Alligator mississippiensis: one gene and its partners. The protein of the gene in region 1 purifies or fractionates together with the protein of each later gene. This does not show direct contact. Links are inferred from orthologs where the notes say so. Each region holds a gene or a part of one and is shown in the gene's direction. Other genes may lie near its edges.

What was found.
Region 2: the proteins of KPNA4 (region 1) and KIF22 purify together in Homo sapiens (affinity purification with mass spectrometry; 3 studies listed by BioGRID and IntAct, counting the BioPlex papers as one, with this or other methods). This does not show direct contact. The link is inferred for Alligator mississippiensis from reciprocal best matches to the Homo sapiens genes KPNA4 and KIF22.
Region 3: the proteins of KPNA4 (region 1) and MECP2 purify together in Homo sapiens (affinity purification with mass spectrometry; 3 studies listed by BioGRID and IntAct, counting the BioPlex papers as one, with this or other methods). This does not show direct contact. The link is inferred for Alligator mississippiensis from reciprocal best matches to the Homo sapiens genes KPNA4 and MECP2.

Annotation. Positions count from the first base shown.
Region 1 is NC_081830.1:68,628,725-68,636,545, reverse strand, and holds the start of KPNA4 (importin subunit alpha-3), read left to right. Parts: upstream 1-4,639; 5' UTR 4,640-6,428; coding exon 6,429-6,521; intron 6,522-7,322; coding exon 7,323-7,367; intron 7,368-7,821. UniProt on the Homo sapiens protein: Functions in nuclear protein import as an adapter protein for nuclear receptor KPNB1. Binds specifically and directly to substrates containing either a simple or bipartite NLS motif.
Region 2 is NC_081838.1:25,093,453-25,101,469, forward strand, and holds the start of KIF22 (kinesin-like protein KIF22), read left to right. Parts: upstream 1-4,941; 5' UTR 4,942-5,022; exon of another isoform or gene 5,023-5,085; intron 5,086-5,193; exon of another isoform or gene 5,194-5,294; intron 5,295-5,378; 5' UTR 5,379-5,452; intron 5,453-6,456; 5' UTR 6,457-6,460; coding exon 6,461-6,642; intron 6,643-6,719; coding exon 6,720-6,847; intron 6,848-7,081; coding exon 7,082-7,242; intron 7,243-7,999; coding exon 8,000-8,017. UniProt on the Homo sapiens protein: Kinesin family member that is involved in spindle formation and the movements of chromosomes during mitosis and meiosis. Binds to microtubules and to DNA. Plays a role in congression of laterally attached chromosomes in NDC80-depleted cells.
Region 3 is NC_081831.1:28,770,882-28,778,040, forward strand, and holds the start of MECP2 (methyl-CpG-binding protein 2), read left to right. Parts: upstream 1-3,959; 5' UTR 3,960-4,070; coding exon 4,071-4,105; intron 4,106-7,159. UniProt on the Homo sapiens protein: Chromosomal protein that binds to methylated DNA. It can bind specifically to a single methyl-CpG pair. It is not influenced by sequences flanking the methyl-CpGs.

The DNA of each region.
Region 1 (7,821 bases):
GTGCTAGATGTCAGAGATGGCTAGGCAGGCGAACAATAGATCTGGAGCAGTGTGTTAAGAATCAAGAGGCAAATTAGTGCCTTTTAACATGTCTAAGAGTTGCTTACTAAGAAGCTAGAACATATAGAAGACCTCAGGAAATAAATTACATTTTTGCCTCCAAATGAAGACCAACCTTTCAGGCTCTGATCCTTTGGTGCAGCCAAGGAGCAGGCAGATTGGTAGGGAATGTAAGGGATGGCTTTTATATTCTTTTGGTGTTTGGGAGCCAGTAAAGGTGATCGAGCTGGTATTTTCTGAGGTTAGATTCTGCTGTGCTAAATTCTGGGAAAGATCTCTTGCTTATCTTGGCCCTTCAACAGAAGTAATATAGACAGAGAAGAAGACTGTGATAGGTGCATGAGTGCAGCTGCAAGCAAGAAAAGATTTGGTTGGTAGGTATCAGAGTGGTGAGCTAGGCGTGTTCAAAAGCCATAGCTTGAAAAGTGCTAAAGCAGAAAGACTGTCATCTGGTAGCGTGTTAATATCATAATTTAACAATACAGGCTAGAATGTGTTGGCAACTCCTGGCATGTGTGCTGAGCGTGGCGCACGAGGCCATTTTGCTTGGCACGCTGTGGCCAGCCCTGGCCAGCAACGGAACTTGGGCTGCTCCCAGCTGGGCTTGCAGCATCCCAGCTGCCTGTTGGCTGCAGCCGGGAGGTTCCAAACAGCAGTGCCGGGCTCTGGCATCAGCTCCTCACTGGCGTGTGCAGGCGCACCTCTGAGCGGGCGGTGGGCGAGGGGCCTGAGACGCCGTATGCCCGGTCTCTCCCCTGCTCCCAGCATGGAGGTGAAGAGATGCGCTGGGCTCATCATAGCCAGCCCGGGCTCTGGGCAGCTGCAGTGGGCAGAGTGCAAACAGCTGCGCTGGGCTGCACAGCTCTGGCATTGGCTCCGTGCTGGCGGCGACTGCACGGGCACCTCGGGGCAGTCAGCAGGGCACCCCACCCCCAAGATGGCAACCCCGGGGGGGGGGGGGCGGCTATCCTAGCAGCCCTCAACAGTTCACCAGAACTTGGTAATTGGCCCTCAAGCTGAAATAATTGTCCACCCCTGGGCTAGAAGGTCACAGTAGTGGCAGTATTGTTCAGTGTCTAGGGCATTCCATGCAAAACTCTGTAAATGTATAGGCTGTCTAAACAGATATCACGCACTAATTTGATTCGTAACTGTTGAGCCTGTTCTGTTAATAAACTTATAAATGATTAGTTGTAATTTCAGTATTTTAACTGTTTGTGATGATCTGCACCAGTCACACGTGGATGAAAAACATATATATATATATATAGCTCAGTGATCAGTCACTTTCTTATCTTTGTTTCTCAAATCAAATTGGTTTCAGCTGTTGTTTCTATATATTTATTTACTAATCATTTTGTCTTGTAAAATTATAGTCTCAGATGCTCTGAATTTACAGACTTGCCACTTGCTCGTTTTATTTCCCATAGGTGTTAGGCAGTTGTGATTTCCCCCCCTCCCCCCCCCCCCCCCCCCCGCTATTTGAATGGCATGAAAAAGAAAACGTTTTTATTTCATAGTGCCACTGAGCTTAGTTATACAAGGAGATGGCTTATTTCAATTATATGTGCCCATTTACAAAATTCTAAATGTTTTTGTGACTTGGCCTCTTAAATTGGGCATTGCTTAAAAAAAACCACTGAGGAATGCCGTGTGTACAAGTTAGATTTTATACTACTAGATTTTCAGTTACTTTATTAGCTTAAGTATAAATCCTGACATTGATTTTAATATTTCGTTTAAAGCTTTCTAAACGTGTGTCTTATTTGCTGTTCCTGTGACTGGTACTTTTTATTGAAGGACTTTATGTACTAATGGATTGTGTCTCTTGTCCAGCTGTCCTGGGTGCTGCAGCTGTGTTACATAGGGTCCTATGTTGTGGCCTTTGGTATGTTAGGAAGCTGTTACAGTTTTTAAATTCTGCTTGTGGTGATCTGTGTCCTTTACTCTGTTTTTGTTTCTTGTCCCCAAGCATAAAATAGCTTTTTGTTGTTCTTCCAGCTTTTATTAAAATTACTTTTCCATTCTCCTGCCCCAACTAAAACATTTAATTCAAACATGGCTTGTTCAGTAGAGTAAAACAAATGTTCGAAATGCATCAGGTATGATCTTGCTCGTTTTATTATGAGCCTTGTGTTAGGGATATAAATACTGTTTTTAAAATATTTGTTTAACCTTCTCTAATTATGTGGGTTAAATGATTAAGCTACAACATGGCAACTGCTGAGAGCGACTCCTAGAGCTTTTGACTGGGGGAAGGGGTGGAGGAGGCAAGCCCAGCCAGACAACACAGTCTAGGTGAAGCCTGTAAAGGAGCAATTATGCGTTTAATTGATGAGTAATTAGCAGGGATCCTGGTTTTCTCTGATTTTAAATAAAATTGCAAATTCTCTGATAACCCCAAAATCCATGATTAAAATAAAAAGCCACTATGCCTGCCTGCCTGTAAGTTGAACACAATGTTTTATTGATATATTTACAATTTTAAAGCAATTTGGAAGCACACCAGTGCCTCGATCACTATAATACATTCTAAATACTTGTAAATCTTGGTATTTAGTTGTGTGATTTTATCATGGAAGATCAGAGCTAATCTCTGCCCCCTTCATTCACAGAATGCAGGTCCAGGCCCCTTAGCCCTTTTACCCCCCACTAGTGGGGGCCCCCAGCTGCCAGGGTTACAAGGCCAGGGACCTGGGTCTGAGCCCTTGGCCCTCCGCAGCAGCACCTGAGCCCTGGCTGCTGCCCACGGGAGGTGGTGGCTGCTGTTGCAGAGTAGCAGAACCTGGCACCCAGCATGGCAGGGCAGAGTGGGGCTGCCCAACTCCCTTCCTTCCTGTGGCAGCCTCAAACCCCCACCCCTGCCTGACTTACCTGTGAGAGCTGCTCTCCAGGCTCCCTGGCAGCCATGTGCGTATACGTGTCTCTGGCCTGACTGCGCTTCTCCCGTTCCCCCCAGCCCCTTGCAGGCTGGAACTCTGCCATCCTGCAGATTGCTCATTGCAAAACTGCAAAATCTACATGTTTCTCTGTTAAAATGATCAGTCTGTATTTTCTTGGGTGAAGGGGGAAATTCACTTTTTTCTGTTTTTCCATGGTAAATGGAAAACCTGGATCCCAGGTCCTTAGGCTGCTAGCTGTTTTCCTCTTAAGCTATGGGTACTATAGTCCCCCTTGTCTCTCCCACATCCCTTTCCCCACCACCTGGTTCTTCCTTCCCCGCCCTCCCTTCTCCTGTCCTGGTGCCTTCTGAGTCCTGCTGGGGCACCCACCCCAAGTTGAAGGATAATCCTAAACTAACCCATTATCACTGCACATACCAGTTAAAGGATTAATCGTTTAACCTTTCACATCCCTACCTTGTGTTGAGCTGGAAGGATTTTTGTTTCTAGAGGACAAAGGAGGGGGCACTTAGTTGCATGTTGGCAGTTAGAGGAACATTCCCTATTAAATTCTTTGAATGAGAAGGAGATCAGTGATATCTCTTTTCCCTCCTTCCGCTGCCCCTTCCCTTATCTCGCACTTCACTCTGTCAAAGGAAGCTTGTTCTATAACAGTTGAAAGTAGCACTTTCCATATTGTGTGTCTTATTTAAGCCTTCCAGGAAAAATTAGGTTTTAGTTAAATGAATATTCCTCTTCAGGAATACAGATTAAAATTTTAATTTTGTCAAATTCAAATTTCAAGTCCTAATCTTCAAGCTTCTTCCTGGTTACATTGCTAGTTTGCAGAAGTCTTTCTTTTAGCAGTTCCTTCCCTTTGAGCTTTCTTTTAATACTGTTTCTTGAAATTGTCAGCTTACTCTACACAAGTCTACCACCGTTTCTTCATTCAAACCTCTTATTAAAATCGTGTTTTCTTTAATTTTCTCATTCTAATTTAATATTAAAACAAGATTCTTTTAACATTAAAATCTCATTACAGAAAAAAAATTGCTCTGCTGTCTTACAGATGGAATGTGTAGTGATTGCTTTCTGAACTTGAAATCAAGTCAGGCATCAGAGTTGAGTATTTTTAGCATCCGTAGCGGCTTCAAATTTGTTTCATTAACTTGTATAACTTTATAGTCATATTATTCTATTTAAGTACATTTCTGCTGTATGAAAGATGCGCAAATTACTATCAAAATTACAAAGCTGGCTTCTTACATAATTCCTGTACCATAACTGCTACAACAACACTCCAGTCGTAACACAGCACTTAAGACATATTTCATATAAATGAAATATGCTTTTATTTTGTTGCTTATCAGATTTCTTCTGTCTAAACTTTGTGCAGTAATTTAACCATGGTTATTAATATATCTGTCATTCTAATAGCAATACTAAGCTACAGCAGAACTGACTGAGAAGCCTGCCACAGTAGGTAGCTTTATATTGAATGATGGAACTTGTACAAGTGCTTCTGTGTACAAAAGCATGCATTTAGACCAGGGCATCTGGAGGATGCTTCAGCTGAGTGTATTTCATTCAGGAGAGAACATTTCTAGCTGTATCTAATTAATAGAATTAAATTATGAATTGGGTTTGTTTGTAGAAAATCTTTTTTTCATAATGACTTTATCGGTGCTTAAGCATTAAGGTTATAGAGTGAAGCACTCAAATAAGAAAAAGTGTTAAAGTTGCATGCACAAACTGCATGGATTCTGGCATCTCAGTTACATTGCTTTATTGGGACTCTTCGGCTTGGAGAAGTGAAGACTCAGGGGTGACTTGGTGGCAGCCTGTAAGTATATAAGGGATGTGCATCAGGAACTGGGAGAACATCTATTCACCTGTGCTCCCTAAGGGAAGATAAGATCTATCAGTCACAAACTTCTAGAAGACCGTTTTAGACTGGACATAAGGAAAAACTTCTTTACAGTCCTAGTCTCTAGAGTCTGGAATAGACTTCTCCCAGAAATGGTGCAAACACCTACTCTGGATACCTTTTAAGAAATGCTTGGATGGGGTGATCTGACCCCAGCTGACTTCCTGCCCCCTGGACAGGGGGCTGGACCCAATGATCTCACAAAGTCCCTTTCAGCCCTAATGTCTATGAAATCTATGAAACTGAATGCAGATTGGAAACTAGTGGGGAAAGCTGTATACTTGTTGCTTTGAATTTGGATTGAATACTATTTTCACAATCTAGATGAGGAATAGATTCTTTAAGATGATAGTTTGATATTCTGGAGTTTGATTTGGTGTGTGCAAAGGATTATGTGACAGTTGTCTAAGATGGCAGGATCACACTGACCTAGAAGATCTCTTTTCATTTTGACTTCTTCTGATGTGAAGTGGCAACTGAAGAAATTTTAAGTGTTTTGCACAGTTTGTGCAGTGAGTCAAGCGAAGTTTCATAGAAAAGATTAAATATTACCTTACTGCCTCATTCACTGTGAGGTAGTGTGCAATAAATTAAAGTATTTGTGAATTTTATTGTATGATAACAGGCTACATGGTAATCCATACACATGGGGGAAGGACTAAAAATGAAATCTTAAGGTTGAGAGTCACAAAAAACTAAGCATACCAGTTATTAATTCAAGTGAGTTTAAGAGCAATTATCAGATGCTCTACTTATGGTTCATGCAAGGAAGTTAAACTTCATTGGTGCATCTACCCATGCAGTTAATGCAAAGCAGTAAACTGTGAAACAACTCAAGCTGGACTAAACTGTTCCCAGGTGCAGTATCTATATGTGTACCCGGGATGGTGATTTGAGCCAGGGCAGCAGAGTAGGCCCCCAGCTGGCCGGGCTGACCAGATATAGTTTACTTCTGCGATCAGCCTCTATACGTCCATTTCAGCGTGGTAAATGACTCTGCTGTAAGATAGTACTGTCCCCAACAGTATTATCTTATGGCAGAATTTTAGTTTACTGCGCCCTAATATCAACTTGCATGTAGACAGTGATGCTTTACTGTGGAGCTAATTAGTCAGCTCTGCAGTAAAGCATATATTTAGATGTGTCCTATATGTTTTGGATGCAAGTAGAGTAACTTTACTTCCATTGCATTAGTCTTCTACTGCAATAGTTTGTTCAGTTTTAAGGGCAAGATCCACAAGAGGCCTTCAGGTTGGTGATACTGAGCCATGAGTCAGTCCTGGGCACCAGGGCAAAATTAGTAGCCTGTTGATTCAGTTATACACCTTTCAAAATGCCTGGGGGGGAATTAGATGCCTTTAGAATGGGTTTCAATAACCAGTATTGTTAAGCTGCCCAAGGGCTCCAGTAGCAGTCAGGGACTCAAGATTTTAAGATTGACCTCACTTACCCCCTTTCTTTTAGAAACAAAACAAGGCTCCTGTTTTTCTTTCAGAATATGACTAGAAGAGATGGTGGCAATGTCACTGTTTTTTCTAGGATAGCCTTGTGGTTAGAGCATGCAAGTGGGATATAGGTGGCCTGGGTTTAATTTCTTATTCCTCAGGGGATTCAGCGCATTCCCCGCCAAGCCCCATCTTCCTCCACCCCAGGTGAGTGACCTGATCTGCAGACTAAGCTGTTCTGTGAAAGTGGTGGAGCTTTGCAGATCATTAGATTAATTGGGCCAGAGTGCAAGTGTGATTGGTCTGGCAAATAATGCAGTTGAAAGCATATCTGCAAAATGACTGCTCTTCACTAGTTTGTAATAACATTTGGAATAGGTTTTTGGGGTTTTTTTTGTTTTTGTTTTTTTGCCATGTTATGTGATATAAAACAACTTGCTTGTCCCATGGTCCTGTGTTAAGTATGTTATTGATTTATTTCCTCCCCATTTGATTTTTTTTTTCCCCCCTTTATTTTACATTGTAGATATCTGTTAGCATGTTCTTAAATAGTACAATAAAGAGTTAATTATTTGAAGTGTTTAGTTACCCAAATGCAGGACATGTTGCCAATTTGTGTCATGAGTGTTATAAATGAGAGCAGGGACAACAAAATAATTGTTAAATATTATTAACAATTAAAGGGAGGCCAGCGTGGGCAGGTTAACCTTTTTAATGGTTTAAAATTTTTTTTCTCAACCTTCAAATAAGAAAAGGACCTGTACATGTATACATGTTCATTTAATAAGCATTTCATTAACCAAAATTGGTTTTTATTAAAGGAATTAGTTCCTAGTTAACTGACTCTATTATATATTTATTGCTATTTTTATATAAAAAAATCTAATTTTGATGGCCTCAGTTGAAAGAAAAATGGTTTAATTAAAGTCTTAAATGTAGGGAAAATCATAATGGTCACTAGGTCCAGATTTGGAATGTTATTTAATTGTTCTGTTTTCAACTTTTCAGACTATGAGAAGACAACGAAATGAAGTTGTCGTGGAGTTAAGAAAGGTGAGATCAGTTAACATTGCTTCTTTCAAAAACAACTTGATGTCTCAGAATTTTGAGTTACCAGTATCTGTATGATCACAGTGCATATTCTTTTGTAGACCTTTGTGAAAGATGCTATCAATCTTTTGTTTTATAAAATTTGTCCAGACATTTGGACAGCCTTTTAGTGGGAGGGAAGCTTTTGAAAGGCAGATCTTACTAAGTCAGAATCTAAGAACTCCACCTAAGTTGTCTTCCTGTAAACTAATTGAAGAAGTTTTATTTCAACTAGTTACACAAACTTCTGTGATCCAAATAATTGTCTCATTGATGATCAGCCCATATATTATTCTTTTATTTGTTGCTTGGCTCAAATAGTTTAATGAACAGGTACCAGTTGCCCCATCCAGTTATCTGATGTCTAAGAAATCCGTCAGCATGTGTGGTGTTGAAAAACTACTCTCTATATTAGGGA
Region 2 (8,017 bases), on another chromosome or scaffold:
CAGGCGGCCCTGGAAGGGGTGACCGTGGTGATGGAGACTGGTCAGGCCCTGGGGTGCAGGTGCTGGCAGTGGAGGGAGGCCTGGGGCTAGGGGAGCTGTTGGCTCTGGGCTCGAGGGGAGGCTGGCAGGGCCGGGGGAGGGGGTGATGGAGGCCCAGCGATGCCCCCCGGGTTGTTGAGGGCTCTCTATCACTGGGGTGATCTAGGCCTACACTCTGCTGCAGCTGTGGGGATCAAATTTAGGCTCGCTGCCTCAGATCACCATTTTAAGGCGCATTAAGGGTGCCATTAATGCACCTTAAATTGGGCTAATGCACATTAAATGCGCACGTGTAGCTGTGTCTGATTTTGGCTGCTAAGCCAGAAGCAAATGCCAATGGGGCAGAGGCTGGATAAGGGTTACGGCTGGACTCCGCCCCTGCCGCATGCAGAGAAGCGGCAATGTTATAGCACAGTGCCTTTATTCCAGGGAAGAAAACCAGCTTTCCTGCTTAAGATGCACTCTCTAATTTTAGAGGGGGCAAAGGTTTATGGGATGTGAATACATGCAGTATATTCCTTGATCAAAAGTCAAGTGTGGTTGTGGGGGACCATCCTTCAAGTCTCCCCGCCCTGGTGCCTGGGTACACGTAACACTCTGTTCCCTTTCCCCACCCAGGTGGCTCGACCTATGAGGAGCCGGCCAGCCCACCCCCACGGCTGAGCGAGCGCACGGTGCGGCTGCGGGGGAAGCGCAAGCGGGCCGTGGACGACATGTTCGCGGAGATGTGCCGCCGCAGTGAGGAGCACAAGGCCATCCAGCGTGCCCGCCTGGAGCAGGAGGAGCGGCTCATGGAGCGCTTCCTGGAGCATGAGAAGACCCAGCGGGAGCAGGACCGGCAGCTCCTGGAGCGCCTGGTCAGTGCCATCCTCAGCCGGTCCCAGCCGGCCTGCTCCTGCCAGCGTCTGGGCATGGAGTGAGGCCGGCCCCTCTCCAGGATCTTCTCCGGGGCGACAGACAGTCCCAACCGTTGGGGTGCTGGCTGTACTGCCCAGGGCCCCGTGGACAGCTGCGTCCCAGGCCTGGCTTGCAGAGGGGTTTGTCGTTGTGTTATGCAGGGGTTGGTGTTGGGCTTTGTTTCTGTAGCGTGGGGTTATGGCATTGTGTAGCACAAGGCAATTGCAGGTGAAACACTAATGTGTGCAGAGCAGCTGGAGAGGCCTCATAAGAGTACTGTACTTTCTGGTATGCCACATCACTTCCCCCCCAGAAAACAGCTCCTGGGAATGTTGGTGCGCCTTATATGTGAGAAATACGGCAAGGAAAGAGCTTTTTTTCCCCCTTCAGTCTGCCTTTCAGATCAAGGGGCGCATTATATCCCAGGGTGTGTTGTATGTGAGAAAGTACAGTATCTTTTCCAGCAGTCCCCAGCCTGCCTGCCTCTTCTGTCCTGTTTCTTAACCTGGGTGTCTTAGTTTCCTTAATAAATTTAGAGGGTTTATTCTCTCCCCCCCCCCCTTTTTCTGGTGTACTGGGTATTGTTGGAGTGTTTGCAAAAGAATAAATATTCCCTCTGATACGAAACATGTTGGGAAAGCAGGATTGGGTCCCTTGGAAACCATGAAACCGAGAGCACCGCAGGCCGCAGCCTAGGCTAGTGCAGGGGCCAGGAGGTCTGGTGCAATACAAAGGTCTCTTGGCACTAAAGCCAGCTGGGTGCCAGGTTCCCCTTGCTGGGACAATAACTATTTGGGGATGGTCCTGCTTTAAGCAGGGGGTTGGACTAGATGTGACGTGAGGTCCCTTCAAACCCTAATTTTCTATGATTCTACGACGCTAGGTGGGTCATCATCTGATGCTGTGAGATTTGACCCCATTCTCCAGAGCCCGTGCCAGCTTTGGCTGTCATTTTATTACTGGCTGTACAGGGTGGGAATGAAAGCCACAGCTCATACACTCTGGGGGTCGATGATTGTCCTAACGACAGAGACGTGGGTTATTGTAGAGAAGTGGGGCAGGAAGGGACCCTCGGAGATCACAGCTAGTCCAACCCAGGAATGATGCTGGATAATCAATGGTTCTGTAACTCGCAGTTTAGAGCCGCGGTGCCAGGTGACACCTCTGTCCTGCTTCCAAATTTCTGGTGGGGGTGGAGGTGATGGTGCATGAAGGGAAGATTTTGGGTAGGGGCTGGAAAACCCCGTGGGGAGTGGGGGAGATGGGGGCAGAGCAGCAGGAGGCTGCTGGTGGTCAATGAGGTTAACAAGGCAACTCGGCCTGGGCTAGCTGAACCCTGTCTCTGAGGGGCATTTGCCCACCACCACAGCCCAGCACAGCAGAGGCAGGGGCTTCAGCGGGTCGCTCAGGCTGGGGTGCAGCTGGTGAAATGTGCCCAGTGTCTGGGGTGGGGTTGGGTGCAGCTGGACAAGGGCAGGGGGCACATCCAGGGATAATGTCCCTGGGATAAGTCCCTGGTAGGCTGTGTAGCTCAGTGGTAGAGCACCTGCTTTGCATGCATGAAGCCCTAGGTTGCATCTCCAGCTCCTTTTTTTCCCCCAGCACCTCCTGGTCGAATGTGAGCCCAGGGAGGAGATGCACCCCTGGGACAACAGATGCGGGTGCCCAGCAGATGCCTCCTCCCCTCAGCCTTGAGACCCAGCAGATCTCAGTGCTCAGGGAGGGAGTTTCATGGGGTCCACAGTGCTATGGGGTGGAGGTGGCTATGGGCCTGGGGAATATAGCTCAGTAGCAGAGCACCTGCTTTCCATGTAAGAAGTGCTGAGTTCAATCTCCACCTCCTTTTTTATATTTCCTACCTGGGCAGGTGGTGGTTTTGCAGGCATCGCAGCTCCCTCTGCTCCAAACTCTCCCTGAGTGTTTTAGAGCTGGACGGGTGGCCTCTTTGGTGAGCGTCGGCTACCCCTGGGGGATCAGGTAGTCTTTTTGAGCCTTTGCTTTCACCCTACAAGGAGGAAGAAAAATCAGCCCAGCTATATCCAAAAGGCAGACTGAGTGCCCACTGCTGCCTGGGCTCTCTCAGCCCATCCCAGGCCTGAGCAGGGGCAAAAGCAGCTGGAGATGCTGGGGATTGAATCCAGGACCTCCTACATGCGAAGCAGGTGCTCTACTACTGAGCTACATCCCCCAGCACATATAAAGTCTGTGTCTGGTCCCACTTCAAGGCACTTTCCCCTTGGAAATCCTGCCCCCACCCCCCCGGTATTGAGATCTACTGGGTCCCAAGCTTGCGGGTTCCCATGCCCGGCTTAGAGGGGCCGGGGCCTGGTGAGTTCAGCTGCGGAGCTGCCCTGGAGCCTGGCTGCTGAGGGGACCAGCAGGGGGGAAGCCCCAGCTGAGGGTCCTGGATCCTGGCCTGAAACCTCAGCATGAGACTGCCCCTGGGGCAAAGCAGCAGGAGGTCAGAGGTCAACTCTGAGGCTGTTCAGGTCACACGTGTCTCTAACCCCTTTCCCCTGCAATGAGCTCTGCCTGGGGCTGGCAGAGGCAGGAGACCCTGGGGACACATCTGGAAGCCTCTGCTCCAGGTCCCTGGAGCTGCAATGGGGTGCAGCAGGTCCTTGCACCCCCTAAAGTCTCCCAGGGAAGAGCAGGTAGCTATATCTACTGTGTGTGGCAGAGAAGCAGGGGAAAAAACAAACAGCTCAGAGGTGACAGCACTGGTCTAATAAACCAGGGGTGCGAGTTCAAATCTCACTGGAGCTTTGCTAGAGCCAGAACAAAGCAAGGGCGGCTGTTTCGTAGCGGCGCTGCAGGAGTGGGGAGGAAAAGCCCTTGTCTTCTAGCTGCAGCAAGGGGATTTTTCTTCTTGGGGGAGGGAAGTGGGCCCAGGTGTCCGAGATGGCTCCCACACTGTGCTGCGGGAGGAAAGGAGGACGGAGCGCAGCATCATGGGGTACAGGAGGTGCTGCTGTGCATCTTCGTGGGGCCGCAGGGCCGGGGTTGGAGCCCGGGACCCCCACACTGCTGGCAGGGGGACTCATGCCAGTCGCGCCAAGGTGGTGGCTGCCATCTTGGGGGTTCAGCCCAAGGACAGATGCTGCCTTCACCCAGTCACACCAAGGTGGGGGTGGGCACCTCGGGGTTCAGGCTGACAGCAGTCATCGCCTTCACCCAGTCACGCCAAGGCAGTGGCAGCCGTCTTAGGGCTCAGGTCTGCAGCAGGCGTCGCCGTCACCCGGTTGCACCAAGGCAGTGGTGACCGTCTCGGGGCTCAGGTGCACCCCCACCCCGGCATGCCATGGCAGTGGCCATCTTGGCCACTCATGCTTTGGTGACGGCAGCCATCCTGGGGCTCCCTCCCAAGGACAGACGCTGCCCTCAGCCTGACACGCCAAGGCAGTAGCGAGGCCATCTTGGGGCCCAGCCACAGGCCAGGCTCACACCGCCACGGCAGCCATTTTGAGCAGTTGCCTCAGGGCAAGGCAGGGAAGGCACTAAGGCAGGGCTGGCCACCCTGGTGGACATTTGAGGGGCTCCCAGCTCACTGACTGCAGTGGGGGAAGGGGGCATGGCCACTAAGAGGGACGGGGCCGGGCAAACGGTAGGCTGCCAAGCAAACAAAGAGCCCTGCCGCCATTTTGATATCCCACCACCCGCCCACTTTCCTCTACTGCGCATGCGCCATGGGCAACTTGTTGCCCTATGACGCATGCGCCCCACCCCGCTCGGTTTTCTCTTTAATGCGCATGCGCCACCAGGCACTGTTGTCCCTATGCCTCAGCGCCACCATCCATTCATTTATCCTGCTAGCTAGCTATCCCTTCCTCTTTACTGCGCATGCGCCAACCGGGCATGATTTTTTTTTTTTCCCCTCGTGCGCATGCGCCCAAACCTCACGCCGGGGGGAGGGGTCACTCTATGCTGATCAGCACACCCTCCTCCCCCCCATATTCATCTAGGCGCATGCGGATTCCCTCCTGCCTGTGCAACACGCGTGCGCGGCCCCTCCCCTTCCTGAAGCGCAGGCGTGGTGCTAGCCCCGCCCCCTACCCCACGGGGGCTCCTGATTGGTTGCGGGGTGGGGTGAGCGCTAAAAACAAACGGCTCCGGCAGGGAAGCGGCTGGGTGAGGGCGGTGTTGCAGCCGGTGGGGGCTGCAGAGCTGGGCCCGGGCCCGGGGGGCAGCTGGGGGGAGGGTGGAGTTGGGCCTGGCGGGCACCGGGGGCTTAAGGGGAGGGGCTGGGTGCGGGGGGGCCTGGGGGAGCGCCGCGTGGGTTTGGTTGAATCAATCCGCTTTAAATCGCTGGTCGGGAAGCCTTGGGTTAATCGCTGTTTTCTGCCAAAGGCGCTTCCTCGGTGCGTGACGCGGATTAACCGCGTTGTTGCCGACTCGGGGAGAGGGGACCTTGTAAAGCAACGATTTATTCTGATTTTTTTCAGGTTAATAGCAGAAAACTGAAATAAAATTGGGTTATTTTACTGACTGGAGCTGATGGTTGCGTAGTGGTTGGGAGGTGAGCTATGTCTGATTCACTCAATTCATCCTGGATATTTGGGAGTTATTTTTGCCACGCTGTTTGGAGGACACCCATGGAGCTGGGTGGAGGCCCTGTGTTATCAGCTTGGGGATTTCTTCATGTCTAGATTTTTTTTTCTCTTCTCTCTTTTTTGGCCTGGCAAGCCTGCTGCCACGATGGGCTTTCCCTTCTGCCATCCCACTGTCCCCACGGACCTGGGGATTTGGGTAGGGGCTGGAGGTGGGGCTGGGTTTGGGGGGCTAGGGTCTAGGGATGGTGGGGGGCTTCAAGCTTGGGGTTTGGGGTGGATGGATTTGGGGGTGGTGCTGGGGGCTGCTGAGGAAGGGGCTGCAGCTGGAGGCTTGGGAAGGCTGAACTTCATGGTTAAGAATAGGAAAGTGGGGCTGGGAGGTGGGCTGGTGGAGCGCTGGGTTAAGGGCATCTTGGTGCTGCAGCTGGGGGCTCGGGTGGAGGATGGCTGGGTTTGGGGTGATGCAGTTGGAGGATGGGGGGCTGAGCTTGCAGTGGGGTGGGCCTTGTGGCAGCGGAGGAGGGGAGCTGTAGCTGGAGATCTGAGATTTGGGAAGGATGGCATTGAGTGGGGCATGGGTGGTGGAAAGCTGCGGGGCTGGACCTAAGGGAGCTGAAAACGGGGACTTTGGGGAGGGTAGATTTGGGCTTGGGGACTTTGGCAGGATGGGGGTAGTTGGGAAGGGGAGCTGCAGCTGGGGCCTTGGGGAGGCAGACATTGAAGGCTGGGGGGCTGGGGCTGGTGCTTTCAATGGTGGGGCCCAGGGACTTTGCAGGGGCTGGGTGCTAGGTTGGCAGAGAGGGGCCTGGAGTAGGGACTAGGAGCTGGAGGAGGCAGTTTTGTGGGGCATGCAGGGTGTGGAGGGAACTTTGAAGGGAAATAAATTGGTGTTGGAGGTAGGAAGGGAGCTGGGTGAGGGTGAAGCATGTGTTTTGTTGCTTCTGATCCCTGTTCCCTCTTCTTTCTGCAGTGCCATGCAGTCCCAGCCTCGGCCCAGCATGAAGGAGCATCGCCAGCCCGACACCCCTGTCCCAGTCCGTGTCTGTGTCCGTCTGCGCCCCTGCAGCAAAGACTCGGAACCCTGCATTCGTGGCCTGGACTCGCGCTCCCTCGAGCTTGTCAACTGGCGCAATGCTAAGGAGACTTTCAAGTACCAGTGCGTGTGGGGGAAAGGGGGGAGGAATGGGGGGTTTTGGCAGCCCGCAGTGGTGATCACCCTGCTGTTCCCCCCAGGTTCGATACCTTCTACGGGGACACAGCCACCCAGCAAGATGTCTACTGCAGCTCTGTGCAGCCCATCCTGCACCACTTGTTGCAGGGGCAGAACGCCAGTGTGCTGGCCTATGGGCCCACCGGGGCGGGTGAGCATGTGGTGAGGGAGAGAGGTGTCTGGGTTTGTCCTGGGTTGGGATTTGTCACAAGGCCCATCTGCCTCAGCTTCCTTACGTGCTCCGGTGCGCTTTGCTGAGCTTGAGGCTGGGGAGGGGGGTGGTGAATTTTCTGACTGGTCTTCAGTCCACCAGCACACAGGTCTCTTTCTTTCCTGTGTTGTGGGTGGTGGTGGGGGCTCAGTGCTGCCTCTCTGGCCCCCCTAGGGAAGACGCACACCATGTTGGGCAGCCCCCAGCAGCCTGGTGTGATCCCTCGGGCTGTGCGTGACATCCTGCACATGGTGCGGGAGGCTGGCTGTTGGCCTGACGGGCACAACTGCTCCTACTCTGTCTCCATGTCCTACCTGGAAGTCTACCAGGAAAAGGTATGTGGTGGGGAACAGGCTGCGGGCTCCCAGGCTTTGAGGGGAGAAGGATCATGGGTGCTGGGGAGGGTATAGGGGCGAGACACTCGGGCTGGAGTCCAAGCAAAGGAAGCCACAGCCCCCTTGGGGTACCTGCAAAGTCTGCAAAAGAGCCGAGGCTTGTTCCAGCTCATTCCCCATCTGTCCAGGGACCTGTTTTGTCCCAGGTTTCAATCCAAACCACCTCAAATCCCAGCAAACAGATCTATGTCCCTGTTTCCCCGTAACAAGCTGCCCCCTCTGAGTGAGCTTGAACAGCAAACACCCCAGAAAGCTGGGCTAGGAGGAGCAACAGGCCATCCTGGAGGGTTTGGAGACCTCGAGCGGTCCCCAAACACTTTCCATTCAGTGCTTCCTCCGGCAGCTCTCTGGGCAGCGGATGAAACGGTTGCGAGACAGAGGAAGTGGCTTAAAATTCCTGTGCCACAGTGTGGGGAGCAGGCCCTAGTGATTTGGCGCACAGGAGAGGGCCATGGTGCTCAGGGGGGGCTAGCCTGGACTTGGTGATTCAGGAAAGGGTCCATGCCTCAAAATGATGCTTTCCTAGAGGCCTTGGGTTTTTACATTCCCCACCAGCTGCCTAGGGTCCTTGCTGGCACTGTGGGACCCCCATGACCCCCCTAAGCCTGGTGGAGAGACTCCTCCACTCGTTCTCCCTCTTCTTGCCCCCACTGCCATCCCCTGGTGTATGGTTCCCCTCAGTGCCTATCCTGTTCAGGTGCTGGACCTCCTGGAG
Region 3 (7,159 bases), on another chromosome or scaffold:
TGGGAGTCATGAGGCTGTTTTGGTGTGAGCACAGAAATGAGATGGGTGTGGCGTGACAGTGACGTGTAGAATTCCATGCACTGCTTTGGCATGAGTGTGGACATGAGACAACTGTAGCACAGGCATGAAATATTAGGAGTCACAGGGCCACCTTGGTGTAAGCAATGCTGTATCTAGGCTCCTGGTGGCCCTAGGCAAACTTTGAGTATCAGGTCCCCCTTTGCCAGAGATAATGATAATAATAATCAGACTTGTTGCAAAGGTCTTTATCACGTCTGTGGTATCGATGTCTTTAAATAGTTTGTTCTCAGTTGATAATATTGCCAATCCTGTATATGTGCATTAAAACTTTTTTTGCAATTGTAATTTTGTTTTAATTTTCAGGCCTCCTTTCTATCCGGGCCCTAGGTGGCCACCCGGTTCACCCATGCATGTGTCCAGGTCTGGATGTAAGCATGGATATGAGATGACTTCAAAGTGAGCATGATGTTTTGGGGTCCCAGTGCCACGGTGTGAGTGTGGTGTGTTGGGGGTCCTGGTATGAGCGGGGGGGAGGGAGGGCTGTGGCATGAGTGTGACATGGAGATCACAAGACTGCTTTGACATGATGTATTGAGGCTCCTGAGGCTCTCTTGGCATAAGCATAGACTGAAGCCCGTGGTGTGAGCGTGATGTGTTGGGGGTTCTGGGCCACCTTGGTGTGAGTATGAGTGTGGTGTGTTGTGGGTAGCCCCATGAACATGGACACAGGAGGGTGGTGGCATGACTGTGACATGTTAGGGCTCACAAGGCCAGCTTGGTTTGTGTGACATGTTGGGGGTCCCAGCATGAGTGTGGATCCAGGAGGGCTGTGGCATGAGCATAACACAGGAGTCCCAGGGCCACCTTGGCATGAGTGTGGACATATGACAGCCTTGGTGTGAGCATGGCATGTTGGGATCCTGTGGCTGCTTTGGTGTGAGCATGAACATGAGATGACCTTGGCATGAATGTGGGCATGAGCATAGTGTGTTCAGATCCTGGGGCTGCCTTGGTGTGAGCATGGACATGAGACAGCCTTCATAGATTTCATAGACATTAGGGCTGGAACGGACCTTGGAAGATCATCAAGTCCAACCCCCTGCCCCAGGGGCAGGAAGTCAGCTGGGGTCATAGGATCCCAGCAAGATAAGCATCCAAATTTCTCTTGAAGGTGTTCAATGTAGGTGCTTGAACTACCTCTGGCGGCAGTCTATTCCAGACCTTGGGGGCTTGGACAGTAAAGAAGTTCTTCCATATGTCCAGCCTGAAACGGTTATGGAGGAGTTTGTGATCATTTGACCTTGTCATCCTTTGGGGTGCTCTGGTGAACAGACTTTCCCCCAAATCCTGGTAAGCACCCCTGATGAACATATAGGTGGCCACCAGATCACCCCTGAGCCTGTGCTTTTCCAGGCTGAAGCCTCAGCCTGTCGTCGTAAGGTCTGTTTTCCTGACCTCTGATCATGCGCGTGGCTCTTCTCTGGACTCTCTCAAGCTTCTCCCCATCCTTTTTGAATTGTGGAGCGCAAAGCTGGATGCAGTACTCCAGCTGCGGCCTCACCAAGGTTGAGTATAATGGAAGAATGACGTCCTGGGATTTGCTTGAGAAGCATCTATGGGTGCAAGGCAGCATTTTGCTCACTTTACTAGCCACAGCATTGCACTGAAGGCTCATGTTCACCTTGTGGACAATCATGTCCCCCAAGTCCCTTTCATCCGTAGTGCTAGTCAGTGTAGCACTGCTGAGCCTATAAGCATGCTGCGGGTTTTTCCTCCCAAGGTGGAGAACCTTGCATTTTTCAGTGTTAAACATCATCAGGTTCTTGTCCGCCCATTTCATGAGCCTATCAAGGTCAGCCTGGATCGCCCTCCTGTCCTCAGGTGCGGGTGCTGTACCCCAGAGTTTGGTACCATCGGCGAACTTGGCCAGTCCACTTCTGACTCCAATGTCCACATCATTAATGAAGATGTTGAACAAAATAGCCCAGCACCTGACATTAACAGACTGGCTATGATGCTTGCCAGCTCCTTGAGTACCCTGAGATGTAGATTGTCAGGGCCAGCTGACTTGAAGGTGTCCAGCCTCTCAAGGTGTTCCTTCACAAGGTCAGCATTGATGGAGGGCAGGGAATCTCCCCCCACCTGGGCCTCCCTGTCCGGCTGTCAGTTAGGGTGGGCTCCCTCCGGAAAAAGGGGTTGGGGCGGGTGGAACATGTGTGGAGGCTGATTGGGTCTCACTGCCCATGCTGAATGGGCTGGCCTCCTGCCCATCACTGTAGGAGGGAGCGTGGGGGGAGCCCAAGGAGGGGTGGGGCGAAGCATGGTGCAGCTTGGGGCAGAGGGGTTTAAAAATCAATCACAGTTTGCAACAGTCCCAGCCGCCGCCCCGCCCAATACATCATACTCATGTTCACACCAAGGCTGTCTTGTGTGTGAGGGAATCTCCCTCACCTGAGTCTCCCTGTCCCGTAATGGGCAAGGGCGTCCCGTGGGACTGATGAAAGACCGATGCAAAGTACCCATTTAATAGGTTGGCTTTTTCCTGGGCATCAGTTGTCAGTTGTCCCATCTGGTTTAGCTGGGGTCTGATGTTGCCCATGGTTTTCCTCTGGCTCCCCACATATCTGAAAAAGGACTTTTTATTGTCCTTGATACTTGTAGCTAGCTGGAGTTTCGTCACAGCCTTGGCTTCCCTGGTTTGCTACCTGCAGGACCGGACCAGTGCAGAGTATTCCTCCTTGGAGGTGGATCCTGTCCTCCATCCTTTGTAGGCCTTTTTTTTTAGCCAGAGGAGGTCTGCTAGTTCCCTGGAGAGCCAAGGGGGCTGCTGTGCCCTTTTGTTGCCTTTCCTCTGAGACAGAGCCTTAGCTTGTGCATTGAGGACCATTCCCTTGAAGAACAGCCACTCTTCCTGAACTCCCCTCCCCTTGGGGTCGTGGTCCCTTAGGGCCTCACTGACAAGCCTCCTGAGCTTGTCAAAGTCAGCTTTCCTAAAGTCAGGGACTTCTGTATTGCTGACTGACTTGCCAGTTTTATGGCGGATGGTGAAGGTGATCAGCCTTGGTGTGACTGTCAGCATGAGCATGGTGTGTTGGGGTTCGAGCTGGCGTGAGCGTGGACACGAGGCAGCTTTGGTGAGCGTGGCATGTTGGGGTCCTAGGGCTGCCTTGGCATGGGTGTGGACACAAGATGGCATTGGTGTGAATGTGAGCATGGTGTTTTGGGATCCCAGAGCCACCTTGGTGTGAGTGTGGGCATAAGATAGCCTTGATGTGAACATGTGTGGCATGTTGGGGTCCCAGAGCTGCTTTGGCATGAGCGTGGACACAAGACAGACTTGGTGTAAGCATGAGTGTGTGTGGTGTGTTCGGGTCCCGGGGCCACTTTAGCAGGAGTGTGGACATGGGATAACCTTGGTGTGAGCATCAGCATAGTGAGTTGGGTTCCTGAAGCTGCCTTGGTGTGAGCATAGTGTGCTGGGGTCCCAGAGCTCCCTTGACATAAGCGTGGTGACAGCTTTGGTGTGAACATGAGTATGACGTATTGGGCGGGGCAGCGGTTGGGACCGTTGCAAACTGCCGTTGAATTTCAAACCCCTCCGCCCCGCGCCGCGCCATGCCGCGCCCCACCCCTCCTTGGGCTCCCCCCACGCTCCCTCCTACAGTGACTGGCAGGAGGCCGGCCCATTCAGCGGCAGCAGCGAGACCCAATCAGCCGCCGCGCGCGCTCCATCCACCCCACCCACTTTTTCCGGAGGGGGCCCGCCCTAACTGACAGCGCTTCCCGCCAATTCCAACTGCCGCGCGGGGGAGCGCGGGGGGGGGACCCGCCCCGCGGCCCGCCCGCGGGAGCCAATGGATGTGCGGTGGCTGCGTGACGGGCAGTGCCCACGGCCAATCAGAGTGCGGCAAAGGAGGGGATCGGGGAGGGGGTGGGGCCTGCCTGCTCCGGGCTTCCTCTCCGGCTCGGTTTGGCCCCCCCCACCCCGGCTTGGCCCCCCCCCTCCCCCCCTCCCCTCCCCCCCCGCGGGTTTCTTCGCTGCGAAGAAAATGGCGGCGGCGCCGAGCGGCGACGAGGAGCGGCTGTGAGTGCCCCGCGCGCGGCCGGACCCCCGTCCCTCCCCCCTTCTGTGTCGGGGGGGCGGGGGGCGGCGACGACGCGCGAGGCGGTGGGGAGGGGAGGGATGGGGAGGGGAGGGGGGCGTGAGAGGGGGGCGTGCGTGAGTCCCCCCCGTTTGCGCGACCGTGGTGCGTCACAGCGGCCCCGGGAGGGGGGAGGGGCCGCCCGGGGGGGGGCGGGGCCGGGCGAGGTCACAGGTCGCGAACTCCCCCCCCCCCCCCGACATGGGTCACACTAAGGCCCGGGGTGTATGTCATGCCAAGGTTCTGGGCGTAGGACCCATCAAGTGCCGTCACACTCAAACCCCAGGCATGGGTCATGCCAGGCCCTGGTCACACCAGGCCCCTGGGCACTGGTCATGCTAAGTTCCAAGTGTTGGTCGCACTCCCCCGCCCCCCCCTGCCAGTCATGCCGAGCCTCTGGTCACACCAAGACCCTTGGTGCAGGATACACCAAGCCTATGTCATGCAAAGTCTCCAGGTATGCGTCACATCAAGCCCCTGGTCATGCCCAGCTCCCAGTCGTGGGTTGCACCAAGCCCTTGGCCATGGGTCACACCAGACCTTTGGCCATGCCAAGCCCCTAGGTGCTAGTCACACTAAGCTCCTGTGTGCTGGGCACATGAAGCTCCTGGACACGGGGTGCACCAAACCCCTGTGTGCGCCATGTGGGTCACGTCAAGCCCTGGTAACACCAACCTCCCTGCACCACCTCAGCCCAGTCACGCCAAGCCTAGGCGCACCAGCCCTTTGGCATTGCCTGGGTCCAGTCACGTCAATCCCCCCTGTGCCACTCTGGCCCCATCATGCTAACTCCAGTGTCCCAGCCCTGTCACGCGATCCCCACTGCACTGTCCCATCCCCCTCATTCCAGTCCTATGGTGTTTTGTCTGGGCTCACTCGCACCTAGTGCTTTGTACTGTCCACACCCTCTTCATTGGCACACCTGCCCTCCCAGTACTGCACGTGTGCTCCTACTAAGTCTTGCCGCAGCATCCACCCTGCCTTGAGCCATATCAGCAAGGTTGCACATGGGCCACGCCCATGCCAGCACCCGCGTCCAATGCATCCCATGCCCACGCTGCCCAGAACCCTCCGTTTCCATGCATGCTGTCCAGTCTTATCAGGCGTTGCCCCGGCCAGCATCACCCTTCCCAGTCAGCGTCTTCCCAGCCCTCACATGGTTGCTGCCCTCCACATGTGACACCCCCAGTAACCTTAGTGGCTACATGGCTGGGCCAAGCAGTGCAGGCTTATGCCACCTGGCCTGGTCCATGCCTGCTGGACCCGCCTCATGCCAGTTCCCGGCTCTGAGCCTGCCAGGGCCGTGCAACATGCTACTGTCATGCCCGCTTTTGTGACACACATGGACTTTTGCGCCCACCTGTCCAGGGGGTCTCCCAGCTCTGGCCTGTCAACATGACTCATGTGGTTATGGGTTTTCCTGCCTGCTCCTCTGAGAGTGTGAGAACTTATCCACTGCGGGTAGGGCTGGAGTGGGTCTGTTGCACACGGGTTAGCTGGGCAAGGCACTTTGCCTGCCACAGATATTGCCACCCTGAGCTAGGACAGATGGACATGCAAGGAGGAACTATCCTGTCCGTCCTAGTGTAGAAGCTGTAGCCTGGGCAGCTCCACACTCCCAGGCAGACTGACTCCAACAGGGGAAGCTGGGAGCCTGTGGTCCTGATACCAGTGTCAGGCTTGGCATGAAGGCACCACAGGGCTGGGTGGGCAGCTGGACATAGCTCTGAGCAGGCCCTGCTGGCGGCAGGGTGGGGTCGTGCCAGTTGCCCATTCCCAATGCATAGCCAGGATGTGGTCACAGTCCGAGCTTCCCATGCCAGGCAGCCTAGGGGCCAGAGCATGTCCTCTGTGTCCTTGCCGGCAACAGTGAGGGGTGCCAAGTATGCTTGCTTCAAGCCAGGCATGGGCTGGGGGCTTCTTTCTCTTGCTTGCAGGCACCAGGAAGGCAGTGTTGCCTCTCAGTGGGACCTGGGCTGCTGGCACAGCAGGGGGCACCACATAGGGCAGAGGGCACAGCAAGGGGCACTAGTGGTGGTCAAGAAGCCTGGTGCCACTCAAGCCAGGGGTTCTGGTTCCCACAGTCCTTCAGCCCATGGCCTAGAGCATCTGTTACTTCCCGTGTTCAGACTTACAGAGCCTGGCTGTCCACACATGTTTGACCCGCTATGACTGGTGTCTGGAGGCCTGTCCACAGGGGCAGGAGCCCGGCCCTTACCCAGCTAGGCATGGAGCACAGGGAGGGGCTAGAGCTGCAGCAGATGGAAACAGACTGAGGCCCGCTGCTTTCACACCCACCCAATTCCTGTCTCCCTGGCTCAGTGCTGTGGGGCAGCCCTGGCTCAGTGGGTTGGGCCAGTGCCTGGGTTCAGGCATTTGTTACCAGGCTTCTTGGCAGAGAGAGTGGGACTGGGACTGGGGCCCTCACATGGGCGCAGTGCTTTCCATAGCCCCATCATGCCGGGCACAGCACAGCCTGCAGCCCTGTCATGCCAGACATAGCCATGTTGATAGCCCCTTCATGCCAGGCACAGCACAGCCTGCAGCCTAGCCAACACCAGCTCTATAGCACCGGGCACAGCACTGCCCATGGCCCCTGGGTGAAACCAGCCCTGTAGTGATGGGCACAACACTGCCCACAGCCTGGCCAAGGACCAGCCCTGCCAGTGTTCAATACAGTGCCACTGGCAGCCCCATCATGCCAGGCTCAGCACAGCCTGCAGTCCAGCTGAGACCAGCCCTGTCATGACAGGCACAGCACCATACACTGCCCCAGCCAGGACCAGCCCCATCACACCAGGCACAGTGCAGCCTGCAGCCCGGCTGAGACTAGCCCTGTCACACCAGGCACAGCAGCACCCGCAGCTCCTTGCTGAGACCAGCCCCATCATGCCAGGAACAAGACAGCTTGCAGCCCAGCTGAGACCAGGCCTTTCACATTGGGCACAGCACAGCTTGGCCAAAACTAGCCCCATCACATTGGGCACAGCACTGCC